Linked DNA regions of Ovis aries. The protein of the gene in region 3 interacts with the protein of the main gene of each other region in a pairwise test. Links are inferred from orthologs where the notes say so. Each region holds a gene or a part of one and is shown on either strand. Other genes may lie near its edges. The genes, in order: DMRT3, PRKAA2 and MTUS2.

The links.
Region 1: the proteins of MTUS2 (region 3) and DMRT3 interact in binary tests that used the Homo sapiens proteins (3 or more experiments, as listed by UniProt). The two-hybrid records come from large-scale screens. The link is inferred for Ovis aries from reciprocal best matches to the Homo sapiens genes MTUS2 and DMRT3.
Region 2: the proteins of MTUS2 (region 3) and PRKAA2 interact in binary tests that used the Homo sapiens proteins (3 or more experiments, as listed by UniProt). The link is inferred for Ovis aries from reciprocal best matches to the Homo sapiens genes MTUS2 and PRKAA2.

What each region holds. Positions count from the first base shown.
Region 1 is NC_056055.1:69,252,267-69,254,645, forward strand, and holds the end of DMRT3 (doublesex- and mab-3-related transcription factor 3), read left to right. Parts: intron 1-693; coding exon 694-1,661; 3' UTR 1,662-1,825; downstream 1,826-2,379. UniProt on the Homo sapiens protein: Probable transcription factor that plays a role in configuring the spinal circuits controlling stride in vertebrates.
Region 2 is NC_056054.1:31,181,206-31,184,957, reverse strand, and holds the start of PRKAA2 (5'-AMP-activated protein kinase catalytic subunit alpha-2), read right to left. Parts: upstream 2,248-3,752; 5' UTR 2,206-2,247; coding exon 2,112-2,205; intron 1-2,111. UniProt on the Homo sapiens protein: Catalytic subunit of AMP-activated protein kinase (AMPK), an energy sensor protein kinase that plays a key role in regulating cellular energy metabolism.
Region 3 is NC_056063.1:31,551,545-31,555,196, forward strand, and holds part of MTUS2 (microtubule-associated tumor suppressor candidate 2), read right to left. Parts: intron 3,047-3,652; 5' UTR 2,803-3,046; coding exon 595-2,802; intron 1-594. UniProt on the Homo sapiens protein: Binds microtubules. Together with MAPRE1 may target the microtubule depolymerase KIF2C to the plus-end of microtubules. May regulate the dynamics of microtubules at their growing distal tip.

The DNA.
Region 1 (2,379 bases), on a different chromosome or scaffold from region 3:
CACAGCTGGTGTTGCTTGCCCTCTGGTGCGGGTTATAGGCAACCAAGTCTTCTGGGATCTCGAGTGGCCTTTTAAGAGAGGTTTCCACGGATGGAGGCTTCTTTTACTCTGGCAATCATATTGACTTGTTATTCTACATGGTATCCTGATGAAACATACTGATGACTAGTTCACATATAACACAGAATCTGCCTAGGGAAAATGGTTTTAAAATATTAAACTTTCCCTTGGGTGTATGGGTCGTGCACCAGCTGTTGCAGCTGTTGATGTCCTTTGGTGGCACCAGACCCCTCATTTGGAGAAGAGGAGCTAGAAAACAAGCCCAAGCTCATTTCTCTGTTTGTCCCTGGATAGTGTTTATCCCCAGTCTGATCTGCATTTAGACTGTTACTGCTAGATAGCCGCATCATCTGTGGCTGTGGCTCTTTCTGCACCGTTTTGTGTTGAAGGCAAGCTTTCCTGAACAGCCCATTCTGAGAAATCACTCTGATGTCTAGATCCTTACTTACAGGGTTTGTTCGTTTTTTTGCCATTTGCTAATGACATAGTTTGGATAATTTTCTGGCTTGCAGTATGTTATAACCCACAGAGAAGCAGTTCCCCTTGCAAAAAGGGCAGGTAGGGCCCTCTCCTGAGCACATGTGTTCTTTGCACACCAGGAGAGGATTCAACCAGCTGTTCTCTGCTTTTCAGATTTGACAGAAGAACGACTTGGGGATGGCAGCACCGCTGACAATGCTGAGACTTTCAGCGACAAAGACACGGACCAGAGGAGCTCCCCAGACGTGGCCAAAAGTAAGGGCTGCTTCACACCTGAGAGCCCCGAGATCGTGTCAGTGGATGAAGCAGGATTCGCGGTCCAGAAGAACGGGGCCAGCTCAGAGAGCCAGCCCGACAGCCCCAAGTACCCCGGGGAGCAGAGCCACCTCCTGATCGAGGGCCCCTCGGGGACCGTGTCTCTGCCCTTCAGCTTGAAAGCCAACAGACCGCCCCTAGAAGTGTTGAAAAAGATATTCCCCCACCAAAAGCCGGCGGTGCTGGAGTTGATCCTCAAGGGCTGTGGGGGTGACCTGGTGAGCGCCGTGGAGGTCCTGCTCTCCAGCCGCTCGTCCTCCTCGGCTGCCGACCGGACTTCTGCTGGGGAGCCTGAGGGCCTGGTGCTGCCCTCCAACGGGCACCTCTTCGAGCACACCTTGAGCTCCTACCCCCTCTCCTCATCTAAGTGGTCTGTGGGGTCGGCCTTCAGAGTCCCCGACACGCTGAGGTTTTCTGCCGACTCCACCAACATGGTCCCCAACCCCCTGGCCGTGCCCCTTCAGCACCCGTTTCCCCAGCCACCCCGGTACCCTCTGATGCTGAGGAATACTCTGGCGAGAAACCAGTCGAGCCCCTTTCTGCCCAACGATGTCACCCTGTGGAACACCATGACGCTGCAGCAGCAGTACCAGCTGCGGTCCCAGTACGTCAGCCCTTTCCCCGCTAACTCCACCAGCGTCTTCAGAAGCTCGCCCGTCCTCCCCGCCCGCACCCCCGAAGACCCTCGGATCGCTATCCCCGACGACGGGTGTCCCATGGTGTCAAAGCAGTCCATTTACACCGAGGATGACTATGACGAGAGGTCTGACTCCTCAGACTCCCGAATACTCAACTCGTCATCTTAAGGCGCCGCCCGATGGGGGTGACCAGGTGACATTTTCTGCGCATTTGAACCCTGAGCCCCTCCCCTTGTGGAGAGGCCACGTCCTGTGTATACCTTCTCCTGCCATATGACAAAGTGACCCTGCTTGATTCTAGACCTTAGCAATAAAAAGCATAACTTATTTAATTTCTTGCACTTCACTGGAAAATGCCAAATAGCTCTGCTCTGTGGCTTTAGTGCTGAATGTTGGTTGTCAAAGAGTCTGATGCTGAGAATGGTCTGGGGAAAGCCTGGGCCCATGGAAGATGTCTTTGGGGAGGTAAAGCCAAAGGTCGGCCCCACCCCTAGACTCAACCTGGAATCTTCAGTAATGTAGTGTACTTGAATGCAATTCTGTAAAAGAGGATTCCTCACGATAATGAAACCTAAAGAAGTGGTTTGGTTGCAAATGGACTGTAAACAGGGGCCTCATATTCCTATGCTAAAAATCCTTCTTGCATTTTAAAGAGAGACTGCACTTAATAGAGTGAACTACTCACATGCTTATTTAAGCTTGGACAGTTTTCAGAGACAGACTCCATTAAAAATTATTCTTTTCACATGGCTGACTCAAAACATGTGTAATGTCAGTGTAAACCCAATCACAGCTGTGAACTGCATGAAATATATTGTGAAATGAACACAAGATTAAGCTTTGTCAGGTTAATGTAGCATGCTAAGGACTCTAGGAAAAAAATAAA
Region 2 (3,752 bases), on a different chromosome or scaffold from region 3:
TGACAATGGACCAAATGATCTATCTGATGGGTATTTTAGCCAATATTCAGGTTACACAATAATTTTTTTAAAAACAACAATTTTTAATGCAATTTGAAAAGGAACAGTATACATTATATAACTTGGAAAGTGTACATGCCTAGATGGTGAAGACTTGAGTGCGTAACATCAAAACACAATAGTCCTTAGTAATGTCACAGCATTAATCCAGTTCCTGAATCTTCATATATTCACTCTAAATATATTCTCTCCACTTACCACTTTATGAGGTCTTGCAAACCTAAGCCAGGAAGGACTTCACAGCCCTCACAGGACTTGAAAGAATTTTACAAACCTGAGGTCTTTATATAAACATACACCCTATCTGTAAGGCCATGCCTGACAATCTTACTGAAAACTGTGAACTGCACAAAACTCCGATTCACTTGTCTTCACAGCACTAAAAATACTACACACACACACACACACACACACACACAAATATATACAGTGATTACTGTCTTCCCCTACTTGAATATAAGCACCACAAAAGGAAAGATTTTAATGATTTTGTTCCTAGGGTGTCCCCATTACCTAGAACAGTGCCTGGCACACTGTAGGCACTCAGTAAGTGTTTACTGAACAAAAGAAAGGGTATCAGATGTGTGCAAGTAAATAAAAGCTGATCCCTACCATATGAATGAACGAGTCTCTTCTATCCACTTACAGCCTGGATTCAAGGTTAAAATAGGATTTTTGGACGAAGTGGAAGAGTAGTATTGATCTCTACACTACCATGTGTAAAACAGCTAGCTAGTGGGAAGCTAAGGTATGGCACAGAGAACGGCTGAGCGTTCTGTGATGACCTAGCAGAGTGGGAGGGAGGCTCAAGAAGGAGGGAATACATGTATACTTACAGCTGATTCACAATGTCATAGAGAAGAAACTAACACAAAATTGTAATTTACTATAATTTTTAAAACTTAAAATTTTTTCATTATGATTTTTTAAGGAAATAGAGGCCTCAATAAAATCCTCAAGCTGCCTACCCAACATTTTCTCAGCAAAATGAAAAAAGAAAAAAGCAACAACCAAAAGAAGTATTTTTAATAAGTTGGTTCTAGTTCTGGAGAGAGGACAAGTTAATTAATCTCACATGACTCTTAAGAAAAACAGGAAAGTTCAATACTTAACTAGTAACCAGTAAAAAAAAAAAAAAAAAAAAATCAAAGCAGCCTGTTTTTCTACACCCAAAATGGGATCCCATCACTTAGGAACACAGAGCTCAGCAGAGTACGTCTTAGCAATTCTGGCCTCAGCCCTACATCCTCAAGATCCAACTCCAAAGTCCCTTTTTCCTTTCCCTCCATCCTGGAAGCCTTCCTAGAACCATTTTACACACACAAGCAACCTTCAGACCTCCCAGTTCTAAGCCCTGACCCAACCCAGGTACATCCCAGCGTTTCCCAAGGCCAGCAGAAAGACCCACCCACCTCGCGCCCCGGGGATCCCCCGTAAACTACCAGCCCTACTAATCCAGAGTCAGGGAGCACGAAAGAATCCAGACAGCAGGACTTCCCAGCCTGGCCAAAATTGGAGGACATTTTAGACCTTTATCCCAGTTCTGCCAATTTCAGTGTGACCTTGAACACGTCCCTGCTAGGGGGTCCCCGTTTTCTCACGTTACAGGCGAAGATAACACCTGCAGCTGCTGTAAGGATTACAGGAGATCACACGTGAAGCACCTAACGGGACACCTGGCACGAAATGGGAACTCCACCATCAGGACCGTGGGTCATTCCTCAGGGTCCTTGCAGCCTCCCAGCTGAAAGGCATCTCGCCCAACAACCCAATCTCCGGGTTTCAGAGGGGGGCACTAAGGTCGGGCAGTAGAAGCGTGCTGGACGCCAGTCCCAGGACCTCGCGACGCCCCCGCCCGAGCCCCCTCGCCGGGACGCCGCCGTTGCCGCGGGGCGAAGCGGTACCCACTGCCTTCCCTCGGTCCCCAGGTTCCGCGCGGCCCGGGCGCGGCCGCTCCACCTGCCGCCAGGCCCCGCCACCCGCTGCCCGCTCGCGGCCCGGCACACCCGGACTCCGGGGCTCGGCCTCCCGCGAGGCGCGGCGTACTCAACTCTTCACTTTGCCGAAGGTGCCGACGCCCAGCGTGTCGCCCAGCACGTAGTGGCCGATCTTCACCCGCCCGTCGTGCTTCTGCTTCTCAGCCATGTTCGGCGCGCGCAGCCTCGCTCCGCCGCCGCGGGATCCTCTGCGCGGCCACCGCCGCCGCCTACCCACAGTGCAGCGGGCCCGCGGGGGGCGGGGGCCCGAGACTTGGGGACCAGGCGAGACGGGGCGGGGCGGGGCGGGGCGGGGGGAGGGGGGACGCGAGCAGGTGGGGGGCAGGGGCGGGGGCGCGCCGAGGCCCCTGGGCGGGCGTGAGGCCGGCGTGGGCCCGGGGCCAGGGCCCTGGGGGCGCAGTGGAGGGAGCGTGGGCGCTCGGTGCGGGGGAGGTCGGAGGCCGACAGGTGTGCGCGGAGCGGGGAGGGGGAAGGATGTCGCCTCGCTACCTGGAGGAGGGGCCCTGGGGTGGGAGCCGGGTTAAGGGGCCCTCTAGCAGAACCTGACGGTGCGAATGAGAGGGTGAGATTTGGGCCGAATCTTGGCGAGTGGAAAGCAATGGAAGTATTAATAGAACCTGGGGAAGAGAAACAGGCCTGAAGTGTGGGGAGAGAGGGGCGTGAAAAGCAGTGTGTGGGTCCGAGGGAAGTCAGGGCTGGCGGCAGTGGGGAAGGGCCTTGATCGAAGGTCAGTCGGAGGAGAGTCACAAGGAAGCTTTTGGAGTCACGCACTGTTTTCATACAGGTCACCAGGGCACAAACAAAAAAAGCCAACTCTGCTGGCTTCACTGATTCTCCTCTACGTTCTGTCTAATTCTCAGTTATGGAGGAGATACCCTCTCTAGAGCTCTCCGTTCTAACTAATTTGCACAAAGTTCACCAATCAGTCCCAATATTTGCTCAACTGTATTTTAGACATATAAATATATGGGCTTTCTAGGAGGCTCAGTGGTAAAGAATCCGCCTAGGAGACAAGGGTTTGATCCCTGGGTTGAGAAGATCCCAGGGAAAAGGAAATGGCAATCCACTCCGATAGTGTTGCCTGGGAATTCCCATAGACAGAGAAGCCTGGCGGGCTGCAGTCCATGGGGTCGCAAAAGAGTTAGACACAACTAATCAAGTATATATAGCAAAGAAATTGTGATAGAGCTGCACAAGAGGGAAATAGTGGAAGAAACTGAAGCGGGAAACTGAACGTAGTGAGCTTGGGGAGTAAGCTACCTAAGGGACAAGGGCAATGTAAGGGCACAAATTAAAGGTAAAGATTGAAGGGGGAGTGAGGAAACGGCAAGAGGAAACTAGAAGCAGGCAGAGCCTTAAAAACTGCCAAGATACAGTAAGTACAGTGATTACTCCTCCCGCCCTCCCTTCTCCTCTCCTTTCTTCTTTCCTTCCTTCAGTCTCCTAGTTTCCAGTGTTGCCTGTCAGTGCTTAAAAATCATTTGCCTATTGGGAATAAATGTTTAAGGATTAGTTGAACATCTTTTACCTATGTGTATGACAGTAGAGTTTCAAGGTCACATTCTTCAAATTGTAAGTCTCATTGCATTATTTATTGGTAAAGAGAGAAATGTATTAAAAAGGATAAGATGCAACACAAGTTCCTTTTCTGAGAAGTGATGAATATGCAAATTGCAAACTTGCATCTATTCTGCA
Region 3 (3,652 bases):
ACGCTGAATATTTACTGGAAGGACTGATGGTGAAGCTAAAACTCTAACACTTTGGCCATCTGATGCGAAGAGCCGACTCATTGGAAAAGACCCTGATGATGCTGGGAAGGATTGAAGGCAGGAGGAGAAGGGGATAACAGAGGATGAGATGGTTGGGTGCCATTGCTGACTCAATGAGCATGAGTTTGAGCAAGCTCCAGGAGATGGTGATGGACAGGGAAGCCTGCTGTGCTGCAGGCCATGGGGTTGCAAAGAGTCGGACACGACTGAGTGACTGAACAACAACAAGAACAATTTAAATGTGGAAGCCAATTTAAACGCTTTTCCAACTTTTATGTATTATGTCAGGTGGAATTTAAAAGAATCCCTTTAGATGTTAGATCCACCTCATTCTGGTCATCAGTCTCTTCCAGAGGAAACCGTTCATTTGCCTGCAATCTGCTCTAGTTCAAAACACGCCTTTCTACACAAATACGTCCATCATCATCTATAATTTGCTAAAAGAGGACACTCTGCTTTCACGATTCATTGAAAACACCTCACGAACTTCAGGATGTTCAACTCACAGACTGTCTCACAATGACATTCTCTTACCTCCTGCAAAAACTTCTCACTCATTGGACTGAAGGGATGTCCTGGGGGCTTGATCCCCGACACCACTAGTCCGGAGCTAAACACCCGGGGCCTCTGGAGGTCTGGCTTGAACTTCTCGTAGAGGCCGGCAGCCGGCTTCAGGTCGGCACCCGCCGCCTTGTCCTCTTTGGGGAGAGCCACGCTGCACGCAGGCGGGGCATAAGGGAGCCCCACAGGAACCAGCGACGCGTCCACCTGGCCGAGAGCCTGCGGGCTCCTCCGGATGTAGGTGATGATCTTGGGCCTCACGTGCTTGGGCTTGGGCATCACGACGGGCCTGGGTTCCGCCCGCTCTTCCCTCTTCTCAACCAGGGGGCCCACTGTCCCCTCCAGTGAGGCGGGTGTGTCCTCAGGACGGGGAAGGCCCCCAGGGCAGGCGTTCTTGGCAGGCACTTTTGGGGAGGTGTGTGACAACCCGGTGCTGTCAGCGGGAGGCAGGGCAGCCGGGGGGGACCCTACATCCACACTTGATGTGCCCAAGTCCTGAAAGCGGCTGCTGGGTGGCGGGGGCTGGCGGGCCACATTCACAGTTGTCTCTGGGTGGAGGGACGCAGGGACACCAAGAAGGACATCTGCCCTCACTGGGGAGGTGCTTTCAGTCTTTACTGCAGGTTCTAGATGGTTCCTGGTCTCTGCAAGAGATAGAGAGACCTCTTGGCCTTCCTCGGCTTCTGAGCGGCTGCTTGGAGGGTTGGGGGGCTCAGGGACCCCGGTTTTGCTCTCTCCAACAGAGGAATCTGAGTCAAAAACCATAGTGTTGACACTGTTCCCACCTCCCAGGACGCCTCTCTCGTCACTGGCAACAGAGGGCTTGCTGTCAGTTGAATCTCCAGGAACAAAAGCTACATGACCATCCCCTGCTGACACGCCGTTGGGCACTGTTTCACCCAGCTTCCGAGCTGCACCTGGCAAACTTATGGCCATGGGTTGCTGATCCGCAGCTTGTGAGGAACCGGGGCTCGATTTGAGGGTGGTTCGGAGAGACCCGTCCTCACCTCCCTTCTCTGGCTCATCTCTGTCTCTTATTGTGTCCAGGGGGTGGGGAACGCTGTGTGCCAGGCTGCTTAACCCAGCAGCTGAGGCTCCTGGCTGCGCCTCCCCAGCTGGCTCCTTTCTCCCAAGAGGTGACATGCCATGCCCCTGACGACACCCCAGCTCGCCCACCTGGGTGGACTTGAGCTCCTGCACAGCCCTGGGCTGGACAGGTTTCAGCTCTGTCTTGGGCTCCACTTTTCCTGGACCCACTTGTGCTTCTGGCCTCCTCAGGACATCCTTTGAGGCTGGAGAGCAATCAAGAGCACCCTCTGGATGGGCAGAAGGTGCTGTGCTCTGGGCGCTGAGCTTGGGTACCCGTCCCCTCTCTGGATGGGTCTCTAAGGGGACGGTCTCCATGGTTACTGAGGTAGATGGTTTAGGATGACGTGCGCCCTTTCCCTCTGAGGTCCCGTCCGCCGGAGGACAAGGCAGCCCTGGAGAAGGGGCTGTCCCCATCTTCGGCGGCCCCTCGCCACCGCCAGGCACCGGATGCGGGGCTTCTGGGGACCCCAGCCCTGTGGGTTGTGGAAGCGGCCAGGCCAGGCCCCCAGCCCACTCCTTTGTGAGCACGTCCACTGCTGCAGCAGAACTGCTGCATCTTTCCAAAGGATGCCTCCTCAGTTCCTCGTTGTCAAGGGTCTTGGCCAACTTATCCTTGGCGACAGGCCAGGGGACATCAGCCTCCCGCTTAGCTGGAACCTCTAGGCTGGACTCGCCCATGACAGTCCTCCGACTCGGCACACCTGGTCCCTGGAGACCACGAAGGACCTGCAGGTGGTCTGCGCCTCTCTCCAGCTCAGACTCTTCATTCCGTTCTCTCTGAGCCATCGGAGAGAATTTAAAATCCTTCAGGCCGGTGGGGCCAGCCTGAGATGCCTTTGCAAAGCCCTGAAGTGGGTGAAACTCCTTCGGGACACGGGGACTACTCTCTGGTCCCCTCGAATTTGCATTTCCAACTTCCTCTGGCACAGCACACGTGGCAGGCTTGTCAGAAGAGGAGCCAACCTCCAACACAATGGGGTTGGCATTGGCATCTCCCAAACTCAGGACTCGGTCGTTATTATTTTTTGCTCCATTTCTGCTGTCCCGCAATTCACTGTAACATGACTTCTTAGGCGCCACGGGAACGCTCATTTTCCAGCCGTCAGTGGGGGCTGCCTGCCATGCAGTCCTCCTTAATGGAAAAGGGTCTCCTTCAAGCTGCTACCTGGAGAAGAGGAAATTCTCAAGCTGCTTGTTGCCCCCTGACAGCGTCACTGGGGCGATCCTGCTTTCATCATTTTCAGAGCAGTCTTAAAACTGAGCATTGTCTTCACACACAGAAGGATGACTTATCTGTTAGGTTCCGGCTGAATGAGAGCCAATTAGTCCATGAGACCTAGAGAGAAATAAAAAGAAAAGTACAGTAGATTGACAGAAACTCTCGGTAAACAGATTTATTCATCACTTTCCTACCATTACTTCATTCACTCAACCCAGATGCTATTTCTCCAGAGCTTTTCTGATAGGGGCACGGCAGAACATAACATCGAAATGATTAATGTTAGAAATGGATTATAAACACACATTAAATCTTAAGTTTATATTTTAAAAATCCACAAGTTCACACTGATACTGATTTAAAAGGGCGGACGAGAAAGGAAGGTTTTTCTTCACAGAAGAATACCAACTGATACAAGAAAAATTAGACAATTAGAAAAATCACCACTTTGTATTCACCAGAGTAATAATTATCTTGGATGAGGGACACCAACGGTTGCTAAAATCACCAAGTGCAGAACTGTTGGGAAACAGGATATTTACACAATCGTAGAGCACCACCCTCCAGACTGCTTTATTTCCTACAAAGGAAAACTTCATCTGCACAATGGAGAAACCTGGTGGACGTCATCAAATTTATCGTATCAGTATAGAAAGCAACATCACACGCTCCCAGTGTTAGGTTGTTCTCAGGCCTCACATCCCCTATGAGAGTATTCTTGCT